Linked DNA regions of Caenorhabditis elegans. The protein of the gene in region 4 interacts with the protein of the main gene of each other region in a pairwise test. Each region holds a gene or a part of one and is shown on either strand. Other genes may lie near its edges.

Region 1 (2,503 bases), on a different chromosome or scaffold from region 4:
GGAGTAGCATCAGTATACTTTAACTACATATATCGAATAAAGAAAATTATCGAGATCAAAGGAAATATCAGAATAGTGGCAACTGGCCAGGCAGGTGCTATTAACTACGACAAGGCTATCTTCAATATTTGGAATTCTACTTCTTCAACAAATAATACCAGTTATTGATAAATTCTCGAAGCAAGCATTTTAAACGTAGCTGAGCCTTCGATCTGAACAAACTCCCAGCCAGAGCATACTTAACTATATTATCGACTAAACGTTTTTCGGTCTACGCCATTTTCAGTGTGTAACGCAAATAAATTCTTTTGAACAATGTATTCTTTCGAATAACAAGTAACAACTTAGAGACGACGTCCACGGCGACCTCCCTTTCTTCTGGTGCAGTCGGATGGGATTGGGGTAACGTCTTCGATTCTTCCAATCTTCATTCCAGCGCGAGCGAGGGCACGAAGAGCAGACTGAGCTCCTGGTCCTGGGGTCTTGGTTCTGGTTCCTCCAGTAGCACGAAGCTTGATGTGAAGAGCGTTGATTCCGAGCTGAAAACATTAACTTATTGCAGTAGCATTGATAAAAATTTAACTCACTTGTTTGCAACGATCAGCGACGTCTTGAGCGGCGAGCATAGCAGCGTATGGCGATGACTCGTCACGATCGGCCTTGACCTTCATTCCTCCGGTAACTCGAACGATGGTTTCACGTCCTAAAATTATTTGATAATTTTTGTTTCAAAATTATAATTTTACCTGAGATATCGGTGATGTGGACGAAAGTGTCGTTGAACGAAGCAAAGATGTGAGCGACTCCGAAGATGAGCTCTCCTTCTTTGGCCTGTGGTCCAAGGGACACGACAGCCTGTTCCTCCTTAGCCTTTCCCTTACGAGCGGGAGCCATTATCCAAGACTAAAATTGAATTCCTTGATTAAATATTTTACTAACTATGGCAATGAGGACAACGGAGAAAAAAAAATTTATGATAAGCCGAGTAAAAATTATATATAATTAATAAAATACGTCTTGTAAAATTTATTCTCATTGATTTTTAAAGAAATTCTCAACATTTCACCATAAAAACGTTTTAAAAATCGAAAAAGAAAATCGAAAAATACGATTTACACAGAAAATGTTTTGGCTGCGTATCATTTCCATGGAAAAAGTCGCTACGCAGCCAATGGTCTCACCACGATTTTCCATTTTCTCTTGTTTCGCCCCGCCGACGATAATAGGATGCTGGTTTTTTCGATTTTTTCACGATTTTTACAGGAATTTCTTGTTAAAATTTCGTCTAAAAACACCAAATTAAATTGGTTAAACTATTTTACACTGAAAAATCACACTATATGGGTGTTTTCACGTCTCACATATTGATTTTTGAGAGATCTTCTTTCAAGGCCAAATTGGGCATCAATTCGATAAATTTCCAAAGTTTTTTACCTATATATGCGGCAAATTTGTGATTTTTTATTTAATTTGTACCAATAGGATATATGTTCGCTAGTTTATTTCTCGTAACTTAATCGCAACTCTAATCGTATTCCTAAACTAATTATTTTGTATAATTTCAGGATGAGCGGACCAGGAATTGAAGGTTTGGCCGTCGGTCTCAACAAGGGACATGCTGCTACCCAACTTCCAGTTAAGCAGCGTCAAAACAGACACAAGGGAGTCGCCTCCAAGAAGACCAAGGTTTGTTATTATCCAATTTTTCGGATTAAAATATTTATTAAAGTTTTTAGATCGTCCGAGAGCTCGTTCGTGAGATCACCGGATTCGCTCCATACGAGCGTCGCGTTCTGGAAATGCTTCGTATCTCCAAGGACAAGCGCGCCCTCAAGTTCTTGAAGAGACGCATCGGAACCCACCGTCGTGCTAAGGGAAAGAGAGAGGAACTCCAAAACGTCATCATCGCTCAACGCAAAGCCCACAAATAATTTTGTTGCTGTTGATAAATTGTTGTTATCCAAAATCTCGTTTTTTCTTGTTCTGACTTTGAAAGAATGCGTGGATTCGCCTCAATTACTTGAGGATAGATAGTTATGGATTATGAAAGAACCTCATTCTTTTAGAAGGGTTAAAATGTTTGGTCGTCAAGTTGGACGCGTCGTTTTCAGAACTGCCTCGGTGGTAGTTCAACGGAGATCTGTGTCAGCTTCGGTGCCGCAAATGGTCAAGCTCGTGGCTCCATCTGTAAATTTCATTCAAACTAGGTAACATTCTTCAGGAAATTTTGTGGTGCTAAAAATCAAGGCAAATGCTTATTTGTAGAAGAAGGTTTTTTGAGGAAAATAAGTGAAAAAGAGAACTACCTTTTAAATCAAACTGAGTAACGATAAAACAATTTCCACATTAAAGTTTTGATTTTTGGAGTTCAGACATACTCTTTAGAAAAAAAGGTCGGTATTTTCAGGGGAAGCAAAATTGAAGTCTTCGGACCATTCGACCCCCCAAAGCAACTCACATTCAAACAGGTAGCTGAAACAAACGGAAGACTTTTTCAGGCCGT
Region 2 (7,597 bases), 590 kb from region 4:
ATAGGAAGAACGTAAGGACAACACAGCGTTCCTCTTCATCTTCTCGTCTTTCTTATTCTGTTACTAGTCATTAGTTGCCATTCGCATTCTGGTGGTAGAAAGAGCACATCGGAGATATATCTACTTTGTCTCTTCATTTTCTTTTTTTTCCGTAAATATTACACCTAGATTCAAAAAATCTAGGCAGATAGTACACTAGGATAAAATACATGCACTTGATTTAAATTTTTATGAAGTCAATCCTGTTGTAAATCCTACTCCGTTCGAACTTTCACTTTCATTCTTTTTTCCTTCCGTTGCCGGTCTAACTTGTCTCTTTGTATATATTATTTTTTTTCAGAAAACTACAACTAAACAATGAACTCCATCGTCAATGGACTCTACACCTTCATGTCCACAACCGTCGTCCCAGCAGTCACAGAACAGGCAGCGAACCTTGTTGGAGGAGCTTCTGCACTTGCCGAAGGAGCAACACAGGCTCTAACACAAATCAGTCAGACTGCTCTCGAGTGGGGATCTGGCTCAGAGGATGCCACGGCTTCTTCTGAAGTCTTCTCATGGGAGCAACAAGGGGCGGCGGCGGCGTCGTCTGATCTTCAAGAGGATAAAAAGGAGACGACAGAGGATGTTCACCAGGAGGCGATAGGAGCATCGTCACCAAATACATCGATCGAATGGGAAGTGATCCATGAGAATCCAGACGAGACGGGTCCAATCAGGCACAATCAATTTGAGATGGTGCAAAACAACTACGAGTGGATGAAGAATTCCAAATGATCTGGGATGAACGAAGAAATCCTATACATGTTCGGGTCTATTTTAATATTACTGTCCAATTTATGTCATGTTTTCGGTAATATTTACCGGTTTTCACAATGTTTCACAATAAACTTTCGTACGTGATCAATTCTACAATGTCCTTGGCAATAAAAACTACTTCAGACAAGAAATTTCAAAGACAACAGGGATTTGAGGTGTTAGAAATCATGGGCAATACTTAATGTAAAAAATCTATTAATAACAGAATATCGAGCTTCTTATCGGTTAATTTCGCAACCTATTACAACTCGAACAACATTCGCCAGTTTGCGTGTTCATTTTTGCATATTTTCTTGTTAGAACAGTGTTTGTTTGTTTTTATAGTCTACTTTTTTTTTAACGAAAAAGGGAAAAGCTTGTGACATCAAAATGAACTCGTCACATGTGCCGTTCGGTTCCTGTCTCCCGTGCCAGTGCATATATATGCACAGATGATAGATGTTCGCTTATATTTTGTGACATTATACACCTTTCTAAATATTTTAAAATCGAAAAGAGCTGTCTCAAATGTAAAAAGTGGTCCCTATTCCGAAATTATATCAAAATCAGTTTTGAAAAAATTTATTGTGAACAAAAGTTGCAAGAATTTTTGAATTTTTCTTTCGGCTGAAAATTCGAAATATTGTGCAATTTGATTTTAAAAAAAACCAAATAGTTGCATATGATTTTAGGGGAGCATATGCAAGGTTGCACTGAGTCTCATAGGGGTACTGTATTTTTTTATCTCTAATTCTCTAAACACTACTACTACTCGATTCTCTAATATATACAGTTTCTTCTTTCATTATTTTCGATTTACATTTTTAAATAATATGAAGATTTTAAAAATTGTATTCTTTAAAAACTTATCGAAACTTATTTCTAAACCAAATTTAAAAAGACCAACTCTCAAAAACCTATTATATTGATCCATATTCTGGGACTCTATATTGTCTCTTCTCTTCCTCTACTATGTTGGAATAATAATCAAATGGTCTCGTTAGCCGCCAGAAAGTTATTGATTACAAAGGTGTATACTGTTACATCAGATCGAGCGTTTTTGTGCACAGTCACGCCTATTTGGCAGCCTGCCATACGTTGGGTGTTCAGTCGTCCGTCGTTTTTTTTACCTAGGCTCTATGTTCTTAATTTCTTCTATGTAGTTTGATTTCCATATTACCTCGATTTCGTAACTATCCCTTTTTTGGCACAATAGATTATGAAATTGCGTGTTTGTTTCCTCAGCCCTTCTATTCATATTTTCCTTATCTAAAATGACTAAAACTTATTTCATTTTCAGAACCACAAGTTCTCAAAATGTCTTACTTCTCCTATGCAACCTCCATCTGGAATTCCGTATCAGAAATGGTCACATCTGCAGCTGAAACCGTCGGAACACTTGTCAACGCGGTTACTGAAGACACTACTCCAGTCGAACTCGTAGAGGTTCCACAACAAGAAGAACCAGCTGTACCAGAGAAGCTAGAGACTTTAGAGCCTGCAGAGGTGGAAGCATCTTCCAAGGAACAACTGGACGAGAAGGAAGACTACGATATGCTCGATGATCATGCTTTGTATGTCATAATGTACGAGTACGCTCGAGGAATCACCACGGAAGAAAACGTTTTCGTTGATTTGGAGGAATCGTTGCCATGTCATTGACTTCGCAAGATCTTCGTCTAGTTCGGATGATCAAAACTAATTATTTTTAAATTATTCATGTTTTCCCTACTTATAACCACTTCATCTGTTGTTTTATCAACTTTTTTTTTGTTTGAAACAATTCAGGTCCAACCCATCACACACTCCCAGTCCAATGCCTTTCTTTCCTTGTTTTCACTCGTTTTTTTCCACTGTTCACGGTTCTCTTCTCCTTCTCTTTGTTTCAACATAATTTTCATGTTCAATAAAACTGTAAAATATAATAAAGCTTACCTCAACAACAACCGCAGGTTTGCACAACTCATCTCGCATCTTCTCCATATTCCATTCAAGACCCAACGGTTGTTTTAGCACAGCCTCATAGTCTTCAACTCGGGAGTAGGGGAATGGTAGAGAACGTGGCTGGATCTTTCCGATACCCTGAAAGCTCATTTTTGCAATTAAAAAATCTAGGAGATATATCAGGTGCTTACATCCTTAGCCGTCATATTTTCAGCAATAATTACTCCGTTTCTCTCTCCGTCCCTTCTTCTCTTCTCTTTTGCTTTAATCACAAAGTTTTGGCGTCGCTTCTTCTCAGTCATTCCTGGTCCAACCCATGAGCCCCATCCGGCCAAATTGAGATCTACATCTTTAACTTTTTCCTTTTCTTTCACTCCTTCTTTCATATCTTCAAAATCTCCAATGACGTCATCATCCTTGAAAGCTTCATTGATAACTTGAGCGGCTTCTGCAGGAAAAAATCGTTGGAATATAGTTAATAAAAAGAAAAAAAAAGATTAAGCTTACCTTCATCAAACTGATCCATTTTCTCAACAAAATCCGACGAAACTTGTGTCAAGTCGTTTGTGTTGAGCTCTAGAAATTTGCTCGGATCGATTTCAATTTCCTTTTGTCGTTTTTCAGCGGCATGCACTCCAGCTGAATCCACTGCCTTTTCCACTTTTTCATCAAAAGTTTCTGCACGTTTAGCCTCCATCTTCGGATCATAATTCTTATCAACATATGATACTTTTCCAATTGTTCCTTTTCTCGCTGACTCCTTCGCTTTTAGTAGCTTCTTTTTCTTCTGCTTTGCCTTTTTCGCATCTTCTTTCTCTTGCCAAGTGTCATCGACGTCGAATAGAGGATTTTCACGTGATGCACCAGTATTCGCTGAAATACTTCGAGTTATAGCAGCTTCTTGTCGTTTCTTGGCTCGCATCTGAGCAAGTGTCACTTTTTGAGCATCGGAGTCTTCGAGGAAAGTATCAACTAGAGCCGTGCCAACTTGTTTTCTGGATTCTTTCTCCGCTTCTTGGGCGGCATCCTGAAATTTTTTAAAATTAATTTTAAATATAAAATTTTAAAAAATAGAATGTTACTACGTGAAGAATAAATCATCATTTTTCAAAATCCTCTACTTGATAACTCTTTTATTTTTATTTCTTCGATCTCAAACTACAGTTGTGGATATATCGATAACTATATCACAAATGATGAGCATGGAGTTATTTGGTTTACAGGTATTGTTTGAAAACTAAAAAATCCAAAAAATATAAAAATTTCAGCCAATTTTTATGATACTTCTGCAACTTGCTCTGTGTTGGACAGTTCCGGCAGCTATTCTGGTGAACTGCGGGAAGAAGTCGAAAGGAAAGAAAAAATACTCAGATGAAACAGGAACAACTGGAGGAACTACTGGAGGTGATGATGATGACGATGATGAGGATGATGAAAAGCGTCGTAAAAAGAAGAAAAACGATGCGATTGCGGCAAAAAAGAAAAAAGCAGCAGCCAAGGAAAAGGGAAAGATTCCTGCCGGAGCTCCAAAGCCTCCGAAAAATCGTGCTGCAATTGCTGACACCCATGATCCCAACTACCAGACATTGGCCGGATTGAACGATAACGTTTTTGAGCAAAAACAAGGCGGTGGTGGTGGTGGAGCTGCTCCAAAAGCTCCGGACGGAAAACCAGGAATGGCCGGAACTCATGATCCTAACTATCAAACTCTTGCCGGCTTGAATGATAATGTTTTCGATAAGAAAGGTGGTGGTGGAGCAGGACCACAGGCTCCAGCAGCAGGAGGTAAACCTGGAATGGCTGCAACACACGATCCAAACTATCAGACTCTTGCTGGTTTGAATAACAACGTGTTCGATCAAAAAGGTGGTGTTGGTGGAGGTGGAGGAGGAGGAAATGGTGCACCAGCTCCACCAAAAGCTCCTGCTCAACATGGTGCTAAGGCTGCAACTCATGACCCGAACTACCAAACCCTGGCTGGTCTCAATCAAGATGTTTTCGGTGCAGATAAGAAGAAAGCTTATTGAGAACTTGAATCCGTCTAATGAATTAGTAGTTTATGTCTCACTTACCTTGATTAACTCATGAATACTCTTCTTTTTATTTTGTGGATCTTCCGTTGAAGTTGGAGCTTCACCATCAGAATCTTCAGCGGTAGTTGCGACTTTTGCTTTTAATTCTCTTCCCATTCTGAAAAAATATTCCCATTTTAAAATTTTTGTTCCAAAATTAATATCTAACCTCAAATGCTCATCGAGCAATTTTTTGACCTCTGGATTTCGGCTAGCATGTTTTTCCAGCATCTGTTTGAATTTCTGATTCTGTCCGCGATGCTTCAAACTTCCTCTTTCCATGATTCGCTGTAAATCCATTTCGGCAAGTTTTTCATGAGCAGCGGATGGATCACGAGCAACCAAATCATCAAACTCTTTTAAAAGTTGTTTTCGTTTTTCTCTTTTTAGAATTCGATGATATCCTTTCGATTTGATTTTCTTCATATATCGATTCTTGGCCTCTTGGATTCCAACAATAGCACGCATTCGTTGCATTTGTGAAAGACGATCTTTTGCCATTTTAATATCTGTAGCCTTCATCAATTCCATCTCCTTTTCGGTCAGTACGGGCTCGGTTTTCTCGTCCTGAACGAAAATAATTATTAGGAGCAATTTTTCCACTTTTATTAAATTTTAGAACAGTTTAATTTGGAAGCAACAACTTACACCCCACATAATTCCATCCGGTTTTGTGAGAGGGAAGATCAATTGATCACTGACGCGGTTGCTTTGAACGAGCTCTGTCCAATTTTGTGTCACTTCTTTTCTGTAAAAATATCTTATTAATTAAATCACAAATCAATAATCTCACTTCAAATCAGTGAACGCAATTTTTCCTTCAATCTCCTTTCGAGCTTCAACATCTTTTAGAGGAATTAATGTTTTGCTTTTCAGCTTCTTTTTCGTAGTTGTTTCATCTGCTGTTGCTTCCGATTTTCGCTTCTTTCCTGTTTTTTCTGTCGACTCTAGGCCACCAATTCCGAGACTTTGCTTGGCTTTGTTGGTTGAAGGTCTGTAAAATTGCAAAAATCCTAAATTTAAAAAAAAATTTGTTTTTCAAATACCTTGAAACTGTAAGATGAGATAGAAGAGAAGTTGCGTCGGTTTTTGTTTTTGATGCTTTCTTCAGACGATTTTTCTTTACAGTTCCAGGTGTGTGAATTGATTGCAGAAGCTTCTGATGAGCAACGTCATCAAGATCCGAGTCATCACTCATTTCTGTTTCTCAAATTTCTATAATTTTATTCTGTTTTCTTTCAAAACATTATTAAGAAGTAAATGGTAACCGACAGAACGAGGTCAATATAATTGAAATTTTTCACAGATCTATTTATTTATTTGTTGAGAGTACAATAAAGAAACTTAAAATTCTGGAACAAACAATTACACTGCTGATGTTATGACCCACTAGAAAATGAAGACAATACATAAAACCGATTACTAAACAACTCTTTAAAACACCATCTTCAATGATTGGGTATGATGAGGCAGGGAACTGGTTTGAAGCACAGATTGAAAATCGGGATGAGGAACTAAATTTTTTGGGAAAAATTTAGATGGCGGTGGCAAGGGCATCCTTGTATTTCTTGACACGGGAAGCGATCGACAGATCGACGTACTTGTCTCCGATAGTGACAACAAGTCCTCCAAGAATCGATGGCTTGACGGCATAAGTCACCGTGAGCTTTTGTCCAGACTTTCCGATCTTGCTAAGGGCATCAGACAATGCCTTCTGGTTTGATGAGCTCAATTCTTCGGCGGAGGTGACCTGAAAATGATTTTTAGTTTTTAAAACGGTACGTACGAGCATCTTCAGGATTAAAATTTAGACTTGAAAATTTCCATTTCTACGTATTGAAAACATTCGCTATTCATATTTTATAATTTTACGAAAACAAATTTCAAAAGAAACATTGTTTTTCTTGGCAGTTATAATAAAAGTACCTGAACGAAAAGTTCTCCACGGTGAGCGCGCATGATGGATTCGAATGAAGAAACAACTGACTCGAGCTTGTTCAGACGTCCGTTCTCAGCCAAAAGTCCTGAAAGTTACAATTAAATTTGTAATTACACGTTAACAAAATACCAAGGAAGTTTCCAGTCTCTTTGGTAAGCCCCAATTTAGTTGAGATAGCCTCGATGGCGGTCTTCTTCTTGTTGGCCTTGAGAGTTGGGTCGAGGACGAACTCTTGGAACTTCTTGTTGTCCTTGTACACGGAGCGAACATTGTTCAGATCTGTGGAAATCTGGTCGAGCTTGTTCTGTTTGTGTCCGGCTGAGTAAAGAGCGGCGGCGTAACGTCCCTCGACTCCATGAACCTGAATCGGGGTCTTCACCAGCTGAGCCTTAGCGAGAGCAGCGCTCGTGGAGAATCCGCGTTTCATGAGTTGCGCCATTACCTGCAAAATTAAGAAATTAGGCAAAATTTAAATTTAATAAATGTATGCAAGCAAACGAATTAATTAAAACAACTTTTTAAATTTAATTAAGAAAAAAATAATAAAGAGTGGATTTTTACATACTTTTTCGTGAAGAATAGTCAAATATAGGTAAAGAGGCTTGCTTGGGATAAAAATTCGCATAAAATAGTACAAAAACTTAACTGAAATTCGATAAAAAAGAACTGAAAGCTAATTTCAAGAGAAAAAGGGCGGTCGTTGGCTGAGTATCACTCTCTTAACCATAAGCCAAGGTACGCAGCCAAATCACCGGCTGTCAGTTCAGTAGAGCGCATTTGGTGCTGCAATTTTTAGACAATTTTTTTTGTGGAGTTTTCTTGTTTGCAAACTTTCCATCTCGAT
Region 3 (4,609 bases), on a different chromosome or scaffold from region 4:
TTTTTCGAAATTGGGTCTGCAAAATGTTTAGCAGACCAAAATTGGGTATGCTAAATATTTAGCAGACCATACTGGGGTCTGCTAAATATTTAGCAGACCATACTGGGGTCTGCTAAATATTTAGCAGACCATACTTGGGTCTGCTAAATAATTAGCAGACCAAAGTTGGGTATGCTAAATATTTAGCAGACCAAAAATGGGTCTGCTAAATATTTAGCAGACCCATTTTTTTTCGAATTTATGTTCAAAATTGAGTTTTTTCCCAGAAATTCTCGATTTTTGATGCAAAAACTCGGAAAAATCAGTTTTGGATAGTCGAAATGTAAAATTTAGCGATTTTCAACCGCAAAATTGGAATTTTTCGCCATTTTTCCATTTTCCATCAAAACCTCACTCGTTTCGTTTCAGGACACGCGCAGCACGCTTTCAGCTTCTTCTCCGGTGCCACGCTGCCGGCTTCTGTGGATTTTTGTGGCTCTGCTGGCATTTTTTTGGGTGCTAAAATTATAGATTTTACAGATAAAAATGGAGTTTTAAAGATATTAAAAACGACATTCGCCAAAAATTTTCAGAAAATCGGATAAAAATTGCAGCTACAACTCCGTCAATATAATTCATGGAAAGAGTATCGTTGCAAAAAAAATGGGGGTCAAAGGGGGGAAATTTCAATGAATAATATCGATAATAAATAGGCAAAACACACACAAATCAGGCGGAAAATCTACTATTCTGATCGGTTTTTTTGGGGTGAGGATGGTACGAATTGGTAAAAAGAAATACCAGTGGTGCGGGGGGTTGGGGACGAAAATTTCTCGGAAAAAAATGGAAGAAATAAGGGATTTTTAGGACACAAACTTCAAGACAAGAGGCTCACAGAAAAAATTCAAAAAAATCGAATAAAAAAGAATTTAAGAGAAAATGTAGACCGTCGAGCGATTGATGTCCCAATTGTTGCAGCTGAGCACGCTGACAGCCTCTTCCTCACGGACTCCCATATCCTTGAGCTTGTCGACGAGAGCCTGGTATCCGGCGTTTTTCACGGCTCCCTTTGCGAATTTTGTCGTCCAGTACTCGGCGGTGGCCTGAAAAATGGTGGAAATTTAGTATATTAAGAGCATATTAGGCTATTATTCAGTTTATGTTGTCTATGTTTGTCTATTTTCTAGGCTACCTAAAGTTTTCAAGCGTGGAAATTGAGAAAATTCGAATGAAAACCAATTTTTTTTTTGAGATTTCTCGAGTTTTTACACTCACTGGAAACAACGAATTTTCGGGGAAATTCGAGTTTTTAGACTAAAAACAACTTCGCCAAATTTGTTGAGTTTTGGGTCTGCTAAACTTTTTTATAATTTCTTTTTGAAAAACAAATTTCGATATGAGCTGAAAAACTGATTTTTCTCGGCTTCTGGGACAAAAAGTGATGAATTTGAACGATTTCCTGGTTGAAAAACAAGAAAAAACCAGTAAATTCCGCGAAAAAAACTAAATTTAAAGGATAAATACGGGATTAGGGTCTGCTAAATATTTAGCAGACCATACTTGGGTCTGCTAATTATTTAGCAGACCATACTTGGGTCTGCTAATTATTTAGCAGACCATACTTGGGTCTGCTAAATATTTAGCAGACCATCGAAAACCACGTGGCGTTTCTACAAGCCTGCTAATTAGTTGGCAGACCCAAATTCTAAAGAAAATCGGCCAAATTCTGAAATTTCAGGGCAAAAATCAATAATTTTCCGAGAAAATCGTGCATTTCAGTGTAAAACAGTCAGAATTGTCTCCAAAATTCGGGAATTAACGAATTTTGCACGTTTCCCATCGAATTTTCTCAATTTTGACGCTTCAAAACTCGAGTTGGCCTGAAAAATGGGAAATTATAGATAATTTTTGGGGCAAAATACGCAAAAAAACACACAAAATAAGGGAAGATTTGGGTCTGCTAATTACTTAATTACTTAGCAGACCCATATTGATTTTTTAATCGGATTTCGCAATATTTTCCCCATTTTTCCGCGAATTTTCTGAATTTTCCACGCTGCTACCTTGAAAACTGCTGGCTTCTCCATGTATTGCTTGGCGACGACGGCATCTTGAGGATCCTTGGGCTCCGGTGTGCACATCAACGCCTGAATCGACAGGAGAACCGTGCGAAGAGTCAGCGAAGCGGCCCTGAAGTTGAAAATAAATTAAATTTTCCGATTTTAAAATAATAATCGCAATATTACCATTGATCCTTAAGAATATCGAGGCAAATGACGCCGGTCTGCGAGCTGACATTCGGGTGCCAGATTTTTGTGCTGAACTTGACCTGAAAAACCGCGATTTTTACACAAATTTCGACAATTTTCAAGCTTTCCAGGCAGAAAAACTCGTACATTTGGTGGCGAGAATGGATATTGGTCTGGAATCTTAATATCCAAATCGAACATTCCACCGGCGTATGGAGTGTCTGGTGGACCGCGGATGTGTCCCTGAAAACCGATAAAAATTGAGATTTCCGACACACAATTCGCGGCGTTTTACCTTGATTTCGGTGAGATTCTCGTTCAATATCTCGATCATAATTCCGGTTTCGCTGATTTCCGAGTTTGTGACGACCTCTTTGCATTCTCGTTGGAGTCTGTTGAATGCTATGTTCGACATGGTCTGAAAACGATGGAAAATAGTGGAAAAACTCTGAAAAATCGACGAAAATCATGAAGTTCAAGGAATTATCGAAAAAGCTTCGAGAAAGTCTGAAATTATCATCAAAATTATTCAAACACCAACTCATGATAAACAGGGCGCGCCGCGGAATTTCGGAGCATCGTTTGCAACTGAAATTTTTGTTTTTCCCCGAATTTCATCGATTTTTCATCGTTTTTCGTGAATAAAAATCAAAAATCATGTAGAAAAATGTTGAAAAACCAATTTTTATGCGAAAAATTGCTTAAATCACAGTAAAATTGAACAAAAACCCGGAAAAACCGGAGAAAACCGTGCGTTAAGTCGGAGCATCGTTGTCGCCGAGAAAAAACGGGTTCAAACGATCAAACCCGTGATCGGAAGTATCGATTCACAGATTGATTAAGTTTTTATAGGAATTTTAGTTTTTGCATCATGATTTTTCTCAAAAAAGAAAATTGAACGTTTTTGCCGAAATACTTCTAATTTTCTCAAGGTTTAGAGGGAATTTCCATTTGTTTATTGAGAAACCCGTTCAGAAAATATCTAGAATTGATTGAAATCTTCAAAAAAAATCTTGCCAGGGAACAATTAGGTCTGCTAATTAATCAGCAGACCCAAATTTCAAAAATCCGCGTTTTTCTTCGTTTTTTTCCCAATTACTCTACTGAAATTCTCTGTTTTTCAGCCCAAAAATGTCTCGAAGCCGTTCCGCAGCTGCCAGCTCCTCTCAAAAGCCGGACGATATGGACCTAATGTCGCCGGACGGCTCGGCGAGCTCCCCATCGGCCCCAAACACGCCAGCGACGAATTCCGGCGGATTTAGCTCGGATAGAAAGAAGGCGACGCACTTGAGGTGTGAACGGCAGCGAAGAGAAGCTATAAATGTTTGTTGAAGCTTGGAAATTCGTGGAAAAAAGCTAAAATTTCAACTTTTCAGAGCGGATACAGTGATTTAAAGGATTTAATTCCTCAGACAACGACTTCGCTGGGATGTAAAACTACAAACGCCGCGATTTTATTCAGGTACTGGCTGAAAATACTGAAAAATTGAAGGAAAAATAACTGGAAAACATAAAAATTTGGGTCTGCTAAATATTTAGCAGACCATAGTTGGGTCTGCTAAATAATTAGCAGACCATACTTGGGTCTGCTAAATAATTAGCAGACCATAGTTGGGTCTGCTAAATAATTAGCAGACCAACGTGGATTTAGCATACCCAAATTGCGAAATTATCGAATTTTGATGACAATTTCAAGTTTTTTACATTAAAAAGCACGATTTTTTTCAAGAATTTCGTGTTTTTCAGCGGGAAAAATCACAATTCCAGTCTGCTAAGCCCATTTTTTGCTTAAAAACCTTCAAAATTCTGCAAATTTCCCCGAAAATTCAATAATTTCCAGAGCCTGCGACTTCATGTCCCAACTGAAAACCGACATCTCCGACGCCGACAAGCAACTGGCCCAGCTCAACGCACAAGCGGCCGCACTGGAAATGATTGCCTCAGAGTACGAGCAGATGGCTTCTTCGGTTCCTGACGCCGGCCAGTCCACGATTCAAGTCAAAATGGTTAGAATTTACTGAAATTTCCAGATTTTTAAGTCGAAATTCTCCAACTTTCAGCTCCAACTTCTCCTCGACGACTGCTTCACCTCGTTCTCCTCCCAAGTGGACTTCACCACGTACGCAACGATCACCAGAACGCTCCTGTCGTGGGTGGAGAGCCTGGCGCCAAATGCGGAGCCATTCAAGTCGACAGCCGGAAAAATGGTCACAATGCCCTTCACTTCGCCATAGTATTGAGAAGAATTTCCAGATTTTTAATCAACAAATGTATTATTCAACGCGTAAAAATGAAATTTAACAACAAAAAAGAAAATAGTTTGGAACATAAAATTAACTTTTGGTAGTTAATTGAAGAACTCGATCCAGAAGCTTCTGAGT
Region 4 (4,027 bases):
CCAGCTTTGTCGTCTCATTGTAATTCTAAATTGGAAAGTTTAATTTTTGAACAATAAAACAAGTGGGGCACTCACAGTGCAGCAGACTTGGCATTTGAGAAACTCCTCGAGAAAATCACCTATCAGCGGGAATGCAGGCGACGCAGCCGAACTATCTGGAATTTTCGAATTTTGGAACCAGATCTTATAAAAACGAAAAATTACCTGTTACAGATGCCACATCCGCAGGCATTTCACTTTTTGTTGCGGACATTTATGGCTGAAAATGCTAAATTAAGTAGGTGATTTTTGGGAAAGAAAGGAGAAAAAAATTCAAAACTTCTTCCAAAACTTTCTACAGTAATCTTAAAGGCACATGAACAACCATGTTTGAATTATGATTTCGCGGCGAGACCTTTCCAAATAAATGTGGTTCCCTTGAAAGTCCTGAATTTTTGAATGAGAAAAAAAAACACTTTTGAAGAGAAACAAAAGCGAAAATAAAATAAAGGAAATCGCACAGATTTTTCAGGGGAAAACAAGAAGAGATCTTTATTTTCTCTATTAAAACATGTAAAACAATACAAAAATTTCAGGCGGAGACGGGATAAAATTGAATTATATAGTAATTTATTCTTCATTCAGAAGAGCAGAGAGCAGAAGAAATCTGTGAAGAACTCTGCCGGCTTCTTCTATGTGCGAATTCGGAAAGTCTTCAGTGGAAACTGAGCTGAGTGAAGATTCATTGTCGGAGAATTCTTTTTCGTCGTCGGAAAAGTCGAGGTTCCCGTTTTCCTGGAATTTTTTTCTTAATTTCAGCTGTTTTAGTTTAAAAAATAGCCGTCTGACAATAAATTTACATACATCTCCAAAAAGGCAGCGAAAACTTTTGTACGTCTCCTCTTCATCTGTTTCAGGCATAACCAATGTGGGATAGTAGTCATCGGAACATTCGGAGATATTATCCTGAATTAGAAAAAAGATTAACAATCGAATTCAAAGTCCTACTAACGTCATCGGAAAACGGACAAAAATGATCATTCTCATGATTCCCAAAACTGCCGGAAGTTGTGGAAACCTGCGAAATGCTGTCGTTGTCCTGCAAACATTTTTTCTAAAATATAAACTTGTCGACAGTGACACTTACATTTCCAAAAAGTCCTCGAAAACGTCGGTAGGCGGCCGCCTCCTCAATACCTGAAACCACACCTGGATCATCTAGTTCGTTTTCCTGAAAGATTTTTTCTATTCTAAATGTTTAACTCGATGAAAACTAACGTCTCCAAAAAGACGACGAAAATTGCGATAGAAACCGCCACCCAGTGTTCTGTCCGGGACAGTAGTATTTGATTCTAGAAAATCTGTTGAGTCTTCTGTAGTCTCAGAATCGCTGTCCTGAAAATTTTCAAATCAAGGGAGCATGGAAAATATCAACTAACTCTTGCTGCCAAGAACCTTAGCATAGTTCGAACTCGCTGATCCTCAGAATTCGCATCAGAATTGTCGTCAGAATCGTAATAACATTCAGAAACAGCCCCTGCCAAGGCTTCAGCCATGTTGCTGACCTCTCGCTCGGCTTCTGCTGAAAAAATTCAGTTTTTATAGAAAATACTTATACACATTTGGCTTTGCCTAGACTCCATAGCTGTGATTTGATGCGGAAAACGTCAAAATGGTGAATGAGACTGCTTTTTACTTCAACAAGCAGCTCGCGGAATTTATTATCAATCATTTCATCTCTATTCGTTTTATTTGAGCAGCAACTAGAGGAAGTTCGCGGAGCGTCAACTGGAGGACCCAGAAGCCCGAAATTCCTTGCCAATTCTGAGAAAAAACGTGGATTTCAATACTCAAAAGAGGTAAAACTTACCCATAATTGAAAAATTTGGTGCTACATTTTCGATGTTGCTTTTAGTTTCCGCACGGCAAGTAGGGCACTCTAAATGTGGGGAATTACCGTAGTTTTGCACGTTTCTGATGCATTCTGTGCAGAAAGTGTGGCCACAGTGCAAGGACCGAGCCAATTTTGTGGTTTCATTAAAAGGCTGCAAACATATTTTGTAGAAAATTGAGTAAAACTAGGAAATTAGTACCTGATAGCAGACTTGGCACTGGCAGTACCCAGCCAAGACTGTTGATAGAATTTCTGGATTTTCGGTATTTTTTTCTGAAATGAAATTTAATAAATTTTAATACAAACTCGAGATTGTCAATCTTACCGCTCATTTTCACGGAGATAAATACCTAGAAATTCTGAAACAAAAAGAAAGCTGGAATTTGCCTGGACACAAGCCTGGAAAACAAAAACAAATTTGGGGAGTCTAGCGGAGCGCGTTTACTGTAATTATTTTTGTCTTTTCAAAGTTTTTCATAAAACTAAACTGAATTGTCATTCCTTTTTTGTTTTTAAAATATAAATCAGTTTATTATAAAAAAATTACATTATTAATAATATTAATAATTATATATTGCGACACAAATTTTTCTCAAATTTAAAATTATTTCAGAAGTCAAGACGAAAAAACAAAGCTATTCATTATTCGAAACAATTTTTATTCGATTTTATGATAATATATATATTATTAAATTCCAAAAAGACTGTAAAATGTAAAACTCTCTCTAGCGTAGCATGTGACTTGTCGATTCCCATAAAAAAATAACCATTTAAACATCCGCGCAAAGAAATTCGCATTGGAGCGCACCTGCCTCACTCGTGCTTGTTTCGTTTTTTTATTCTCATTCAATTTCACAACCGTTTTTATCATTATTTTCCGGAAAATCTTAAGAGTTTCTCGTTTAGAATCTTATAAATAATGGAACGTAAAAAACACAAACGCCTAAATGATACGATTATGAAGCCGGAGGACATGAAAAAGGCGAAACTGAACCATAAACTCCCGACGACTAGTGGAGGCACTGGCGGACCGTCAACTTCTGGAGGAGTTAAAGCGAAGTTGGATTTTAGATCAAAAACTTGTATTCCACCAAAGCCAACGCTAAGTAATTCCGGTAAAAATTTTCAATTTTTCCCAGAAAACACCTAATAATTAAACAAATTTCCAGCAAATCCATCCCTACAATCCAGCCATCTCGTTCGCCCCAATCTCGATGATCAATGGAAAGATTTTGGAGATACAATCAATTTAAACATCGAAACCTTCCAGAAAAGCGTACAGGAGGCGATTTTAGCGGGCCATTTTACAAAAATCGCTAAAATGTTCGTCGCCGCGCTCAAGAGCTTCTTTGTCGGAGAAAAGTTGAAAGTGGAGCTCAGAATAATGGGAACAATTGCGGAAACCGTAAAAAATCATGGGGATAAGCTAAATGTTGGTTCAAATCTAACAAAAACTTGGAGAATAATTCTAATCATTGAAAAATTTTCAGCAAATTCCTCTCCACCGCGCTCTGCTCTTCGTAATTTGCAATTCTCGATCATATCCTGACAATATTCTCGAACTATTCATCTCAATAATCACTTCACTTGCAAGGCAACAACCAATTCTTGATAAATGTTATCTAACAGCATTTCTCCATGATTCTATTGGAATGAGCGTTGGACTCGGCACAATGAATCGATGCTCCTGGATTGAAAAAGAGTGCTCGGCAGAGCTTGTGAAAATGATTTTGGATCCGTTTGAAACTGTCTATCCATTTCCGGCAATGTATGCGCAGTGCCAGGTTGAGAATTTTGCCATTTCCGAATTTTTGAGCTTCTTCTCTGAAAAAGTGGGGAAGTCGAGGGAAAAAAGGTAATAAATTTACGATTTTTTAGAAAAAATTTCGCTTATATTTTTCCTAATTTAAACAGAAACAAAAAGCAGCATCTACAAACAACGGTGTAATACTAGCTGAAAAGCATTTAAAGTTTATCAAAATCTCAGAAGAAATTTTTATTCTGTGTTAGAAAAGTGGAAATAAAAAAAACAGTTTAAAGAATAAGTCAAATTTTAATTTTAATACATTTTTGATTTCAGTCCCCGCTCGAATCTTCACCAAAAGCAGTTAGACGTCTTTCTGGAATTCCTGAAGCCCTGGTTCGACACAATTC

Evidence for each region.
Region 1: the proteins of rnf-1 (region 4) and rpl-36 interact in a two-hybrid assay, tested with the Caenorhabditis elegans proteins (2 studies listed by BioGRID).
Region 2: the proteins of rnf-1 (region 4) and utp-14 interact in a two-hybrid assay, tested with the Caenorhabditis elegans proteins (2 studies listed by BioGRID).
Region 3: the proteins of rnf-1 (region 4) and ubc-20 interact in a two-hybrid assay, tested with the Caenorhabditis elegans proteins (one study listed by BioGRID).

Annotation. Positions count from the first base shown.
Region 1 is NC_003281.10:7,178,686-7,181,188, forward strand, and holds rpl-36 (Large ribosomal subunit protein eL36), read left to right. Parts: upstream 1-1,565; 5' UTR 1,566-1,566; coding exon 1,567-1,686; intron 1,687-1,736; coding exon 1,737-1,931; 3' UTR 1,932-1,962; downstream 1,963-2,503. Other genes in the region: rps-14 (Small ribosomal subunit protein uS11), read right to left, coding at 345-539, 588-703, 747-894; ndab-2 (Acyl carrier protein), read left to right, coding at 2,077-2,207, 2,408-2,468.
Region 2 is NC_003279.8:5,422,429-5,430,025, forward strand, and holds the start of utp-14 (Small-subunit processome), read right to left. Parts: upstream 6,030-7,597; 5' UTR 6,013-6,029; coding exon 5,861-6,012; intron 5,809-5,860; coding exon 5,608-5,808; intron 5,563-5,607; coding exon 5,463-5,562; intron 5,382-5,462; coding exon 4,984-5,381; intron 4,933-4,983; coding exon 4,815-4,932; intron 4,802-4,814; exon of another isoform or gene 4,770-4,801; coding exon of another isoform or gene 4,011-4,769; intron 3,966-4,010; coding exon of another isoform or gene 3,936-3,965; exon of another isoform or gene 3,845-3,935; intron 3,770-3,844; coding exon 3,250-3,769; intron 3,191-3,249; coding exon 2,934-3,190; intron 2,881-2,933; coding exon 2,734-2,880; intron 778-2,733; coding exon of another isoform or gene 358-777; intron 1-357. Other genes in the region: F27C1.4 (uncharacterized protein), read left to right, coding at 358-777; F27C1.3 (Dauer Up-Regulated), read left to right, coding at 3,936-3,965, 4,011-4,769; atp-3 (Oligomycin sensitivity conferral protein), read right to left, coding at 6,349-6,564, 6,741-6,838, 6,883-7,195, 7,319-7,378.
Region 3 is NC_003281.10:186,875-191,483, reverse strand, and holds ubc-20 (UBC core domain-containing protein), read right to left. Parts: upstream 2,647-4,609; 5' UTR 2,644-2,646; coding exon 2,524-2,643; intron 2,472-2,523; coding exon 2,376-2,471; intron 2,309-2,375; coding exon 2,226-2,308; intron 2,170-2,225; coding exon 2,043-2,169; intron 1,083-2,042; coding exon 909-1,082; 3' UTR 537-908; downstream 1-536. Other genes in the region: cox-17 (Cytochrome c oxidase copper chaperone), read right to left, coding at 395-487; mxl-2 (Max-like protein homolog 2), read left to right, coding at 3,360-3,551, 3,605-3,690, 4,069-4,234, 4,289-4,462.
Region 4 is NC_003279.8:6,009,266-6,013,292, forward strand, and holds rnf-1 (RING-type domain-containing protein), read right to left. Parts: upstream 2,322-4,027; 5' UTR 2,206-2,321; coding exon 2,199-2,205; intron 2,147-2,198; coding exon 2,073-2,146; intron 2,025-2,072; coding exon 1,850-2,024; intron 1,804-1,849; coding exon 1,612-1,803; intron 1,562-1,611; coding exon 1,419-1,561; intron 1,375-1,418; coding exon 1,258-1,374; intron 1,211-1,257; coding exon 1,127-1,210; intron 1,079-1,126; coding exon 992-1,078; intron 946-991; coding exon 844-945; intron 775-843; coding exon 610-774; 3' UTR 517-609; downstream 1-516. Other genes in the region: C06A5.8 (RING-type domain-containing protein), read right to left, coding at 1-25, 76-155, 205-253; ints-1 (Integrator complex subunit 1 RPB2-binding domain-containing protein), read left to right, coding at 2,793-2,988, 3,043-3,305, 3,364-3,728, 3,954-4,027.